Schizosaccharomyces pombe: one gene and its partner. The protein of the gene in region 1 purifies or fractionates together with the protein of each later gene. This does not show direct contact. Each region holds a gene or a part of one and is shown in the gene's direction. Other genes may lie near its edges.

What was found. Proteins that work in one complex are often made in the same cells at the same time.
Region 2: the proteins of sec28 (region 1) and rer1 purify together in Schizosaccharomyces pombe (affinity purification with western blotting, with the first as the bait; one study listed by BioGRID). This does not show direct contact.

What each region holds. Positions count from the first base shown.
Region 1 is NC_003423.3:2,323,901-2,330,561, forward strand, and holds sec28 (coatomer epsilon subunit protein), read left to right. Parts: upstream 1-3,573; 5' UTR 3,574-3,605; coding exon 3,606-3,636; exon of another isoform or gene 3,637-3,680; coding exon 3,681-4,516; 3' UTR 4,517-4,601; downstream 4,602-6,661. Other genes in the region: SPOM_SPBC24C6.03 (proline--tRNA (Pro) ligase), read left to right, coding at 1-401; put2 (delta-1-pyrroline-5-carboxylate dehydrogenase), read left to right, coding at 1,356-3,002; gpa1 (G-protein alpha subunit), read left to right, coding at 6,438-6,661. UniProt on the Schizosaccharomyces pombe protein: The coatomer is a cytosolic protein complex that binds to dilysine motifs and reversibly associates with Golgi non-clathrin-coated vesicles, which further mediate biosynthetic protein transport from the ER, via the Golgi up to the trans Golgi network.
Region 2 is NC_003424.3:5,024,507-5,031,022, reverse strand, and holds rer1 (Rer1 family protein), read left to right. Parts: upstream 1-3,572; 5' UTR 3,573-3,615; coding exon 3,616-3,675; intron 3,676-3,728; coding exon 3,729-4,223; 3' UTR 4,224-4,880; downstream 4,881-6,516. Other genes in the region: alpha-1,2-galactosyltransferase Gmh3, read left to right, coding at 1,025-2,023; superoxide dismutase Cu chaperone Ccs1, read right to left, coding at 4,987-5,744, 5,900-6,026, 6,079-6,087.

The sequences.
Region 1 (6,661 bases):
TCCTTCATATGGGATGTTATGGAATCGGTGTTTCAAGACTTATAGCTGCAGTCGCTCATGTAACCAAAGATGCAAAGGGTTTAGTGTGGCCATCGTCGATAGCTCCTTGGAAAGTACTAGTTGTTCCTACTTCTGATAATCATATTCAGAGCGCTGAAACGGTTTACGATGCCACGGCTAACGTTGTAGGCTTTGATAATGTGCTGTTGGAGGACAGACAAAATAGAGCTTTTGGATATAAAATGAGAGATGCTGAGTTGATTGGATATCCATTTGTAATAGTTGTAGGATCAAGATTTCAAGAGGAAGGAATATGTGAAATTATTGTTCGTTCTTCAGGTGAACGATATAAACTTGACAAAGATTCACTGCATCAAGTACTCTTGGGAAACTTTCTTTAAATTTGTCAAATCCTACAATATTTTTTTATGCTATGAGAGTAATCTAATGTCAAGAATTTAACTTATCGTTCAAATAGATACCATTTCTACTTGTGAACATTGGAAAAAAGCTTTTTTGTCCAAAAATTATATCAATGCAAAATGCTGAAATCATCATTTCGATAAAATTTGTTTTGTAGTATCAGACAAAAACTCGTTCCGCTTTATTGATATCTTACTATTTTATAAACATTAAAAAAGTGTCATGTTTCCTTCCTACTTCTTTTTGTAATTCGGTTTTCTGCAACTATAGTTTGAACTCATAAATTAAATCAGATACACAATCTGAGGATCGGATGCAAAACTAAGTTTGAAGTAATCCCTGCAAAGAGCTAGCTGATTCAATAGTACGAAGCAAGAGTTTAATATTAACAATCATAAAGATTTGCGCTAGATTACAATTTAAGCGAAATACAATTCCAAGCCTTCAGGCTATCTATTTAATAGTTCGGTAAGATAATGTGAAGATGTCCGAGTGTGATTAAAAGCAGTTAAAACACTTCCCTTTGAAATAAATCAAATAATACGACCAAAGACCAACAAGTTCAGGGTTCACTTCTATAAGTCTCATAATCAATATTTTAGCTGATTTTTTAAGCAAAATTGCAAATTCCACGGAGTGCGATCACATCGACACTACCTGTTTATAAGAATATATAGGAGTATATATATAAGAGGCAAATCTCTGTCAGGATATTTCCAGAACACCAATACCTCAATACAGGCGATTAGAAAGGAAACGATTTCTAACGCTCTTTAAACGTTTGGATTGAAACTAGTAAGTATTTATATCTATGTAATAACTGTTTTGAGTGAGACCCCTACGCGTCTTTTCATTGCTTTCTATCTTTAGGTTTTCTACGTTTTATTTATGCGATATTAATACTTATTAGATTTATTTCATTTTTAAGTAAAATGTCACAATTTGCTGAGTTCAAATTACCTGCCATTAAGAACGAGCCTCCTAAACACTATGGTCCCAATAGTGCTGACAGAGAGGGAATCGTCAAGGCCTACAAGGAGTTAGAGGCTGAATTACCTGTCACTATCCCTGTCATCATTGATGGTAAGGAAGTTGAAACGAATACCATTGGTGAGCAGCGTTGTCCTTTTGAGCACAAAAAGGTCGTTGCTCGCTATCACCGTGCTGGTGCCAAGCACGTTGAAGATGCCATTGAGGCAGCACTTCGTGGAAAGAAGGTCTGGGAATCCTTACCTTTTGCTGACCGTTCTGCCATTTTCTTGAAGGCTGCTCATTTGATAAGCACCAAGTACCGTTACAAGCTCATGGCTGCTACAATGATTGGCCAGGGTAAGAACATCTGGCAAGCTGAAATTGACGCTGGAATGGAGATCATTGACTTCCTTCGCTTCAATACCAAGTATGCTAGTGAATTATATGCCAGCCAACCTCCCGAAAACACTCCTGGTGTCTGGAACCGTATGGAATATCGTCCTTTGGAAGGTTTCGTTTATGCCATTACTCCTTTCAACTTTACAGCTATTGCTGGTAACTTGGCTGCTGCCCCCCTTCTCATGGGCAACGTCGTTTTAATGAAGCCTTCTGACCATGCAGTCCTTTCTAGCTACATTGTTTACCAAATCTTCCGTGAAGCTGGTCTTCCCGCTGGAGCACTTCAATTTATCCCTGGTGACGCTGTTGAAGTCTCCAAGGTTTGTTTCAACCACCCTGAGTTTGCTGGTCTTCATTTTACTGGTAGCACAGCCGTCTTTCGTAGCCTTTGGGGAACAATTGGCGAGAATGTTGCCAACGGAAAATACCGCACTTACCCCAAAATCGTCGGTGAGACTGGTGGTAAGAACTTTCATCTTGTACATTCTTCCGCTGAAATTAAGAGTGCCGTTGTTAATGCTGTTCGTGCTGCTTTCGAATATCAAGGCCAAAAGTGCTCTGCCCTTTCTCGTCTTTACGTTTCTAAGTATGCTTGGGAAAATGGTTTCCGTGATGAGCTTACCAAACAGGTCAAGTCTCTTAAGGTCGGTGCTCCTTTAACTGATTTTGCTAATTTTGTGGGCCCTGTTATCCATCAAGCAAGCTTTAACAAACTGAAGAAGGTTCTTGAGAGTGCTGCTTCCGATTCTGAAATTGAAGTTTTGGCTGGCGGTAAAGCTGATGATTCCGAAGGTTTCTTTGTTGAACCTACCGTTTTACTTTCTAAAAACCCTAAACATGATATATTCGTTAACGAATTGTTCGGCCCCGTACTGTCTGTTTATGTATATGAGGATGACAACTTAGACGCTGTTTGCGATCTCATCGATACTACCACTCCTTATGGTTTAACCGGATCCATCTTCGCTCAGGACCGTGTTGTTGTCAGAAAGTTGACTGACCGTCTCCGTAATGCCGCTGGTAACTTCTATATCAATGATAAGTGTACTGGTGCTGTTGTTGGTGAACAACCTTTTGGTGGTGCTCGTGCCAGTGGTACTAACGATAAAGCTGGTAGCGGAATGATTCTGTCTCGATTCGTTTCTCCTCGCTCCATCAAAGATACGTTTGCTTATGCAGACTCTGTTTTATACCCTTCCAACTTTTAAGTTTGTTTTGGCCTTTTTGATTTGGATTTAATTTTTAGAATTTAGATAGACATTGGAGTTGTAGAGTGTTTTACTCTGTACTTTGATACTGCCATAAAAAAGACCACAACCTTTTTTTTTTTGGGTTTAGTACAATATGTGAGGAATAAAGGAAGTATATATATATATATATATTGATTAGTTACCTTGAGTTAAACTCAAACTTTCAAAGGTAGTCTAGGTTTTACAATTTTTTTTTTTCTTTTTTTTTAAAGCTCGCCATTTGTTATTCTAATAAATTATAATGTTCGCTTTGTTAACATGTATTGATTTATAACACTAGATTTGTTGCATTGTATATAAAAGCCAGTGGACCAAAATGTAGTTTGCTGGTGATTCTTGAATACAACAACGACCTGTAGAAAAAGGATCTCAATTATCGAACATTTTACTTGCTGACTGCGAAATATATTATATTAGGCTTCGGAGCAATTAGAAAAATTACAAGTCTTGATGGAAAGTTCGTTTGCTTTACATTTTGTTGTAGGGTTACTCATGTACAAACACCATTAACCCACATACTCTCTACTCCACACATCGCCCAACATAATTAAAACTTTTAACATGTTTTCATGGGAGGCTAGTTTATCTAATGGTAAGAGATGAGTTGGGAATTAAATAACAACTAATATTTGATAGAACTGTATTTTGTTCGTCAATACTTTTATAGTGGAAACTATACAAAGTTATTTGAAATTGACACGACATCCATGTCTGAAAAAGGTCTTGAATTGACCGAAATTTATATGGCAAGGGCAAAATTAGCTTTAGGTGAAAGTTTAGAATCAATCCAAAGTATTTTAACTCAAAAAACGCCTGGATCAGCTGCTATTCTGGCGCTGGCTGGGGAGGGGAACATGGAGTTAATTATTGACCAGCATGGCAATTCAGACAGTGTGGTACAAACATTAGGAGCTATTTTTCAAATTAAAAATGGTTCTTTTGATGATGCAATGGATTTATTAAAGAAGTCAGTAGAGAACTTGGAGGCGGTGGCGCTTCAAGTATACATTCATTTACGAGAGCACAAAATTGAAGCTGCTGAACAGACATTGAAACAGGCTTTGGATTGGGCTGATGAAGAAATTGTACTACAGCTGGCACAATCTTGGATTAAAATAGTTAGTGGAGGCGTCGAATCCTATAATGATGCATTTTATGTTTTTGAAGAGTTAAACGGAACTGATAGCAATCCAATGACTTTAACTGGTATGGCGTGTGCAGACATATGCTTGTTGAGACCTGAAGAGGCTTTGAGCTCGCTGAAAACTGCCCTCGATTCTCAACCAAATTACGAGGAGGCACTATCAAATATGACTACTGCAATCACGGATTTAGGCCCTGATGCTCCTTCTCAAGCCAAGAATATACTTTCATCTTTTACAAATTCTTCTACACTGAAGTTGAACGATCATTTAAATGAAAAGGCGCAAGAATTTGATACTTTTTCAACTCAATTTTTGAGTACGGCTTAATCCAATAATAATATTGTTTAGAATCTTCAATCCATTAATAAACTTCAAATGTTTGCATTTTTAGTATTTATTCATTGACTATTGCTTCACTCAAGTAATGGCTCGTTGATCTGTCTGGCAAAGCAAGTCAATCCAGTATTGCCTCGATAAATTTCAAGTTTACCAGAAGTAAAGGTATTAAACTAATTAATTAGAAATACTTAACCGCATGCAGAAGAAGACTCATGTAGACATAATAACAAGAAAACGCACCCGAATATATCTCGAAATGAAACATTTAAATGAACGCCGTCACAACAGGAGCGTCTTTAAACCGTTTACTTTTATTTATCAAATACATTCATTAATTAAAAATGAACTATTATGACTATCCACCTATATATTTGTTTTTAAAAATCTAGAATAGGTGGTTCTTGTCCAAAATTACTCAAAACCTGCAGTGCCACAAAATGACAAGCAACAAGTTTGCCTTTACAAATAGAAAAGAAAGATGTTTTGAAATACACAGGTGTTTGGAATTTGGAAAAAGCAAGAAAACCGATATTAAACGATAAGACTTTAAGAATCGAAGATGAACTTGCTCAAACGGCAGTGGCACCATGACAGATTACAACTATATATGCCAACATTTGCTTAACCCCAACATGTATCAAAACTCTTTAACTAGCAAACGTTCATTTTTGCGACATCGAACACTTAAATAAGCATGTATGAACGTATCAGTTTGTAACTCTCTTTGTAAATTTAGCGTTACTTCGCTCAAAATAGTTGGATTGTTGTGTAGTATTAACACATACTACATACACGCATTTGTTGTATTAAGATTTGAATCGGTACGCAGAGTAAAAGAGATACTTGCTACTGTTCATTCTGAATCCTATTAATAAATGATGTTGAAGTTCATACTGTCAAATATTTGTACATTTTCATCCTCCCCATTCTTCCAAATTCGCACTATAGCATTGAAAGCGGGCACATATTGTGAGGATGTTGCTCTTAGAGAAAAATGCAGATGTAAATACACCGAAGTACTATCAACTTAACTTTTTAGATAAGGTCTTTGTTGTAGAAACTTCTTTTATTCGGACTGTTGACATTTGCCAGGTCCGTTGGATCACTAGACATACAAAAAAATATTCTGTTAAAATCGACAAGACACTATAAGCACGTACCAGTGAAAGTATAACGATTTCACTTTTCCAATAAGTAAAAAGCCTTTGTTTCTGTAATTGTTTCATTCTTACGAATTCTAATAGCTCGCTTACCACCTGATAGTGTACACGCATTGTAGTTACCTTTTTCAACATCTCAACTTCTTTGACGGCTTAGCAATCTTAGTATCCATTTAGGAAGTATTAAAGGAGAACAGGTATTTGTAACTCCCTTTATAGTTGGAGACCATTGCTGCTCATTAAAACCCTGGTTTCTTTGTAAATTGTACGCAATTTTGTTTTTTGGGTTGCTTTGTTTACATTAAAGGAGTTGATCCACTGATTTCTCATTCAAAAATTAAACAGTTCTTGATTTAATTTCATCTAATACCTTATCGCAACCGTGATAGTATAATAAATTTGACTGTTTACGAATACCAAAGTTTGTTTGTGTCATTACACGATTTTTCTCAAAGAATCCTCCTGGTTTTTTTAACCAAATTGTTTAAATAATAGTTTCTTTTTACTATATAATAGTATTCTTTTGGATCTCTTGGAATTATCTGGCAATTGGGTTTTTTGCTTATAGTTGGGTCCACTTCACAAATATTTGAGATTTAACGACATCTATTATTTCTTTTTTAATCCAAAAATCCTTATTTATCACCTTTTCTGCTGTTTTTACAGAAAATTGCGGAGATTAACTTTCTTTGTCTCGACTTTGAATTATCTCCTTGTGGGGATTTGGAATCTGTAGCTGCCTTTTCACCATGGGATGCATGTCGAGTAAATACGCTGATACATCAGGAGGAGAAGTCATTCAAAAGAAGCTTTCAGATACGCAAACCTCAAACAGCTCTACAACTGGAAGTCAAAACGCTCGAGTTCCAGTCCTTGAAAACTGGCTTAATATCGTCCTGCGTGGAAAACCACAAAATGTGGAAAGTTCTGGAGTACGCGTAAAAGGAAATTCTACTTCAGGTGGAAATGACAT
Region 2 (6,516 bases), on another chromosome or scaffold:
CATTTATGAGTTGACCCAAAAAGAAAATCGGAAAGCGGGAGTTTAACAGATATATGAAAAATCAAGATAATAACAACAATTGATATTTTTAGTTTAACATTTCTTATTCATTACTGTGAAAATCCACGAGTCTGCACTCTAGACACATAGAATACTCTTTAAACAGCTTTCACATTATCAGGAAAGCTATTCCATTGATACTGTATTCTTTTCAGTAAATTAATTCTCATTTCATAGTTGTAACCATTCTCGAATTGGACTTCAGTCCGCATTCCAGTACTTGATCTGCTTTACCTGTTTCAACAATTTGAATCGTTTGATTATTTTCCCATTCAATCATGACATTGATTTAGACGTATTGCTGAATTAAGCCATTCCTGTTATTTGTCCCAACGTATAAAACTGGTTAAAATGTTTAAGTACTGTGAATCATGTCATTAAAAGTTTGGAAACGTGATTTTAAAGGAACAACTCATTATTTTGAACATAAATCATTACCATACAGATTTTTCTTCTTTTTCTTCTTTTATTATAAATAGGATACGATAAGTAGAGGAAACCGTAAATTTATGATGATTGACTCCATGATGCGGTAATTTCAATCCTTCCACTACACACTGCCTTTAATTCCAGGTCCATCTGGTTAATCATTTTTTAAAGAATCTAATTCATTCATATTTTTTTATTATAATTTACATTATATTTTCAATTTCTTTTTACTGTTTTCTCTCGTTTCTTGAGTCAACGGGCGAAGATTCGTGTTTCAAACGTAGTATTCTTTGGAATATCACAAATCTCATTTTAATTTTTAAAACGGCTTTCTAATTTTCTACCGAGAAAGAGTAGAAAGTTTCCCATTTCATTCATAATTTCTGATCCATTCTTGGTATCTTATTGTTTTGCTTTTATCCAATCTCAGTTTATATTTGTGAAACTTGAAAAAGAGTTTCTCTTGTCTCTAAAAGACTAAATTTTATTTTTTATTTTTTTATTAATTTGCATTTAACATCTGCTAATCTTTAAAATGGCAGTCCTACAGTGGAAGTTATCTCGTGTTATATTCGTGTTGTTAATCATTGGGATTAGCTCTTTTCTCATTTACTTCCAATTTGGAAACTCTTTTTCTGCTTCACCTGCTTTAGAACGTTTACAAGATGTATTTTCCAAACCAAGTGTACAAGAATACGACTACTTAGTACCTCTGGATGAAGATATGCAAGGCCTTAGCACGACGTATCATCAAGCGACAATTAACGAGGATGATCCTCAAGAGCCCAAATCCCATGAAATAGTAATCCTCTTAGCGAGTGATGGACGTTCAAGTGGCAATATGGCACCTGAAACATTTAATCAATGCATAGAAAACCGAATTAACTACGCAAAGCATCACAACTATGGCTTTGAATATGTTAATGTAAGCCAAATGAACATTCCTCCAGTGTGGGCCAAAATGCCCGCTATTATACAAACAATGAATAAGCATCCTCATGCGAAATGGATTTGGTGGTTGGACCAAGATGCGTTAATTTTGAACACAGAACTCTCTATTCAAGAACATATTTTGTCACCTGACGTTTTAGTGGAAAAGTTAATGAAGAATGAACCTATGATATCTCCATTTAGTGCTGATCTCGAACGTCTCACCCCAAGTTCCTATACTGTTGACAGTGCTCGTTCTTTAGGGCTATTGATTTCTCAAGATTTGAATGGCTTAAACGCGGGAAGTTTCTTTGTTAGAAGGTCGCCCATGATGGCTCTGTTTTTGGACTTATGGGGCGATAAATCCTTTAGAGAAAATAAGGTTGCGGATCATGAACAGGCCCTTTTGGGATATTTTGTTAGATATCACCCGGAAATTGCTGCTATAATAGGAATTTTACCTCAAACCCTTATTAATTCTTACCCTGTTGGCCAGCCGGAAATGGGCTGGAAAGAAGGTCATTTGGTTATACATTTTGCTGGGTGTTGGGTGGAGAACCGTTGTCAGGTTTTGTGGGATGAATATCGTGAGAGGGTTCATTGATGTGCATTAATAATAATAGTATTACCATTATTAATGCATTTGGTTATTTCCCCTCATCTTGTCTTTATTTTTATTATACACAAGCCACTGGATGCCACTCCTTTTACATAATTACCTATACAATTATGCTCTATGTATGTGTATATATTATCTAAGCATAGTCTGCCTCCTTAACCGTGCTAGTTACGGTTGTTTTCAATGGAAGAATGTGTTTATTTTATATGCGGTGTTCTGTTACAGAGGTGGTGGATAATCATCTAATTCCTTCTTTAATTTTTCTAATATACATTGCTATATAAACTAATTGTGACACTTATATTATAGGTGGTTTTGCAGGCCCCAGACAAATATTAATTGTGTTTAATTCATAAGCTTAAGGCTGAAACCACCAATCTTTTATTATATTTGTTTTATTGCACTTAATCTTTGGCTTTTTTTCAATTATTATTGAATCTATGCTACCTGTGTGAAACATAATCGATATTACTCCTAAAAAGCTGTGGATATTTGGGTAGGTAAAGTTATATCGCTTGATCCTAAGTTTGATATTTGTATTTTTTTTTGTTTAGGAAGTTGGCAATGCTTGCAATCTTGTCTTTTTCTATACATTTCTTCCTTGCCTTTGTCTTCAATCTAATCTGCGTATAAATGTCGATCTGGTTTACTTTTATAGACTGAATTCATTAATTTCTTTTTCCTTTTATTAAAGCTATTCAATGTAGATTTGTCACATTATTTTGCTGTGCAGGATTGTCATGAATTGAAAAAGCATACGTTATCTGACTTTATGAACCTCGAAATAAAATAAACAAGCATTATATTACATTTGTGTAAATTATAATGCTGTTAGGGTTGATGATAACTGCAAAATTCATGGCTGGTTTGAAAAGAGCTTTGCCGTTAATTTCAAATAGAAGTTGACATCGCTTTATTAGAGATGTCCAGCACCGGCTATACTCAATGATCATTAGTTGTTATTTCCGCTACATTTGCTTAATGAACCTTTTTATAAAAGCTTGCATCGAAAGAAGAAGTGTCATGTTGTAAATGTTAAAGAGTACCCAGACAAATTCTTCAGATTATTATCTTTACTCTTGACTTTTCCAACAAATTGACGACTCGTTTACTACTATGAATTCTTCATAAACACCCAAATCGACATGCCATTTTTCTGCAAAATTAATGAAGTCGAAGGTGAGCTGTATACAGTTTAACGTATTGGTAAGTATATGCATTAAATTTCTAATCGGTTAATGAGTTGATCATATTTAGGAACTTCAAATTGGTAAACGTAACCGTGGTGTAACTATACTAATCTATTCAAAAAAAAAGTAATTCTGACTGCCAAATTATCACTGAATCTTTTCTTTACACGCTTACCGCTCTCGAGTCCTGTAGAGACAAATTATTACTTTATCGTTATATTACTTTAAACTAATAATATCATTCACCGATAACACATTATAATGTATACTGTATTCTAGTGTAGGGGGTAAATGGAGTCTGGCAGTAGCGCGTATATGTCTGAATTGAATACATATTTCACTTCACTACCAACCACCATTTTATCGTCTGTTTGACAGTATTTAAGCATGGAATTCATTCAGCGTCATATAGAAAATGTTAAAGAGAAGAAAAACTTTGCAGTTCGAGTAAGAATAACTTGATTAGCTTGAGAAAAGAAGAAAATCTAACGTGTTTTTAGTTGTATCGACACTGGGTGGACCGAACCATACCTTATACAACGTATAGATGGCTGACTGTTAGTGGATTAATTGCATTATTTTTTATTAGGATTCTACTGGTTCGCGGTTGGTATATTGTTTGCTATACATTAGCCATTTACCTGCTCAATCTGTTCCTTGCGTTCTTGACTCCAAAATTCGATCCTAGTGTTGAGCAAGCAATGAAAGATGAAGAAATTGAAGAAGGAGTTCTTCCTACTTCCAAAGACGATGAATTTCGACCCTTTATTCGTAGATTGCCAGAATTCAAGTTTTGGTATTCAAGCATGCGTGCCACCTTGTTCGCCTTAGTCGCGTCCTTTTTCCGAATATTTGATGTACCTGTGTTTTGGCCTATTCTTGTTGTCTATTATCTTGTACTTTCTTTTTTCTGCTTTCGACGACAAATTCAGCACATGCTCAAGTATCGTTACGTTCCATTTGATATCGGTAAGAAAAAATTTGGCTCACACTAGGTAGTGTTTGAGCTGATGATGACCATGATCGCGAAATTGTTTTTTTCTTAGAAAGATATGATCACATTCAGTTGATTATATTAATCGGATACTCCTCAGTCGTTCTCTTACAAACATTTGTTTTTTATGTTTTTATATCGCCCACTCTTACTTTTAAACATGTAAGGAATAATTTTTCCAGCCCTATGTTCTTTTTACGCGATAAAACTACTTTTTTCTTTGAACCCAGTAACCTGCAATTTCATCGATAATGATGCTAATTTCGATGCTTTGTAATCCATCGGTTCTCTGGGTGTACAGCTATCTTTCATGCATATTCAAGATGTTAGATATCTGTATCAGGCTAAAAGAAATTGGCGATTATTTCTGTTAACATGTATGTGGATTGTCATGCGGTGATGATTAAAAAAAAATCTTTCTTATTGGAGTTGGGTCTTTGATGAAGTTGATTAACGAACAAGTTACAGAATACTCGGCTTATTCTTGTATCCAGAAGCGCTGGAAGTGGGCTAATTTGAAAGACATGTATCTCTTTCGAAAAGCTTACTCGCTTCTTCACGAACAGTTGTATATGGATAATAATTAGCATGCAGGTACAAAAATAAATTCATTGAAGCAACAAAATGACATGAAATTCTTTACAGCTAAGGAGTTTTAATAAACTGCAAACCAAAATTTAAAAGGTGTTTGTCAAATTTGACAGCATGGCTACTGTAGTAAACATTTACGTACATGATAAAGTTAGTAATTGTATGGTATCGTCTTAAGCACAGACAGTCGATTTTCCGTTAGAACAGCACGAGGGTTTTTCTGATGTGCAACAGCTTTTCTTTTCTTGAGAGCAGCAGGAGGTTTTTTCTGTTGAACAGCAACCTTTTTTTTCTTGAGAACAGCACGAAGGTTTTTTCGATGAACAACAGCTTTTCTTTTCTTGAGAGCAGCAAGAAGGTTTTTCTGATGGACTAGAATCCTTCTTGGAACAGCATGAAGAACCCTCGTTGACGGATTTCAACTCGGCATGCTCTGTCCATAAACTTTTGCCTGTACAAGCACAAATTTGCTTGGTATTTTGACCCAAACCAGCGCTACGGGAAATAATTCCCATAGTGGCGGAATCAGAATCGTCGACACATTTAAGAACGAAACAGTGACCAATCCAATTTGGTAAGGATCCAGAAACCTCTTTGTCGAGAACAATTTTTCCTTGCTCATTGGAGTTTGCATTAAAAAGGGTAACAAGGCTATCGCCAGCGGATTTGAGTCCACGGGAAATGTCTCCTGAGATAGTGACTAATCCTGTATACTCTCTATTTGGTAGGAGTTGAGTAGCAATCAAATCGAGGAAAATTTTCTCCTCGGTGGGAATAAAACGGCAAAGTCCGTAAACTTTGGGAATCTGGGTTATATCTTCATTGGCTTCATAAAGAATGGAAACGCCCGATTCTTTGTTACTAGCACCACGAATGAGAATGGGCTTCGAAGTGGCATTTTCCAAGCGCCGAAGGACTTTTGAAGGAGAGACTGAAAATCTACGTTAGCTAAGAGTAAAATGAGAAAAATAGGAAGTAAAAGAGGAAGTCAAACAATTTACTTTCAATTTTATGAACTAATGTAAAGCAGGATGAACTCACAAATCTCTCTTTTCTTCCTCATTTCTTATTGGTTTTATCACTTACCAGAACCCTTCACAATTAATTGACCAGTTGCAGCATCCCATTTCCAATCTTCAATGTTTAAATCTTGGAATTCCTGCTCGAGGGTATTCTTATTTACGTCGTCACAATCCTTAATGAGATATTCAACCTAAAAATTTTATTAGCACTCTTTGAACCAAATTTTCAAACAAATGCCATACTTCAAACATGTTGAAAACAAAAAGAAGCCGAAAGCAAAATAAGCCTTTAATATGATATTATTGATGTTGGCAAATGGCAACTTCTACGGAACTGCGTAAGGTGGTGAGATTTACTTTAGAATGGAAGGCAAACTCAGTATGAAGATTAGTCAGAAGGAAAGTTAATGGTATATTGAATTGAAAAATGCAAAATATGAACGTCAATTTTTAAAGAATATCATTGATTTTATTAGAAATGACAATGAATGTTGGATTTTTCTATTTATTATTATTTATTTTTTTAAATTTTTTTGGAAGATTTGTTTTTTATTCCAAGCGAGTTAAATGGCTTTTCTTTCTGTTGGTTTATAAATGAACATAGAGATTGTATTATTATTTATTTTTCATTAATTTTTTAAAGACCATTTAGCTGTAATTGTTAGTGTACAACTCCTTCGT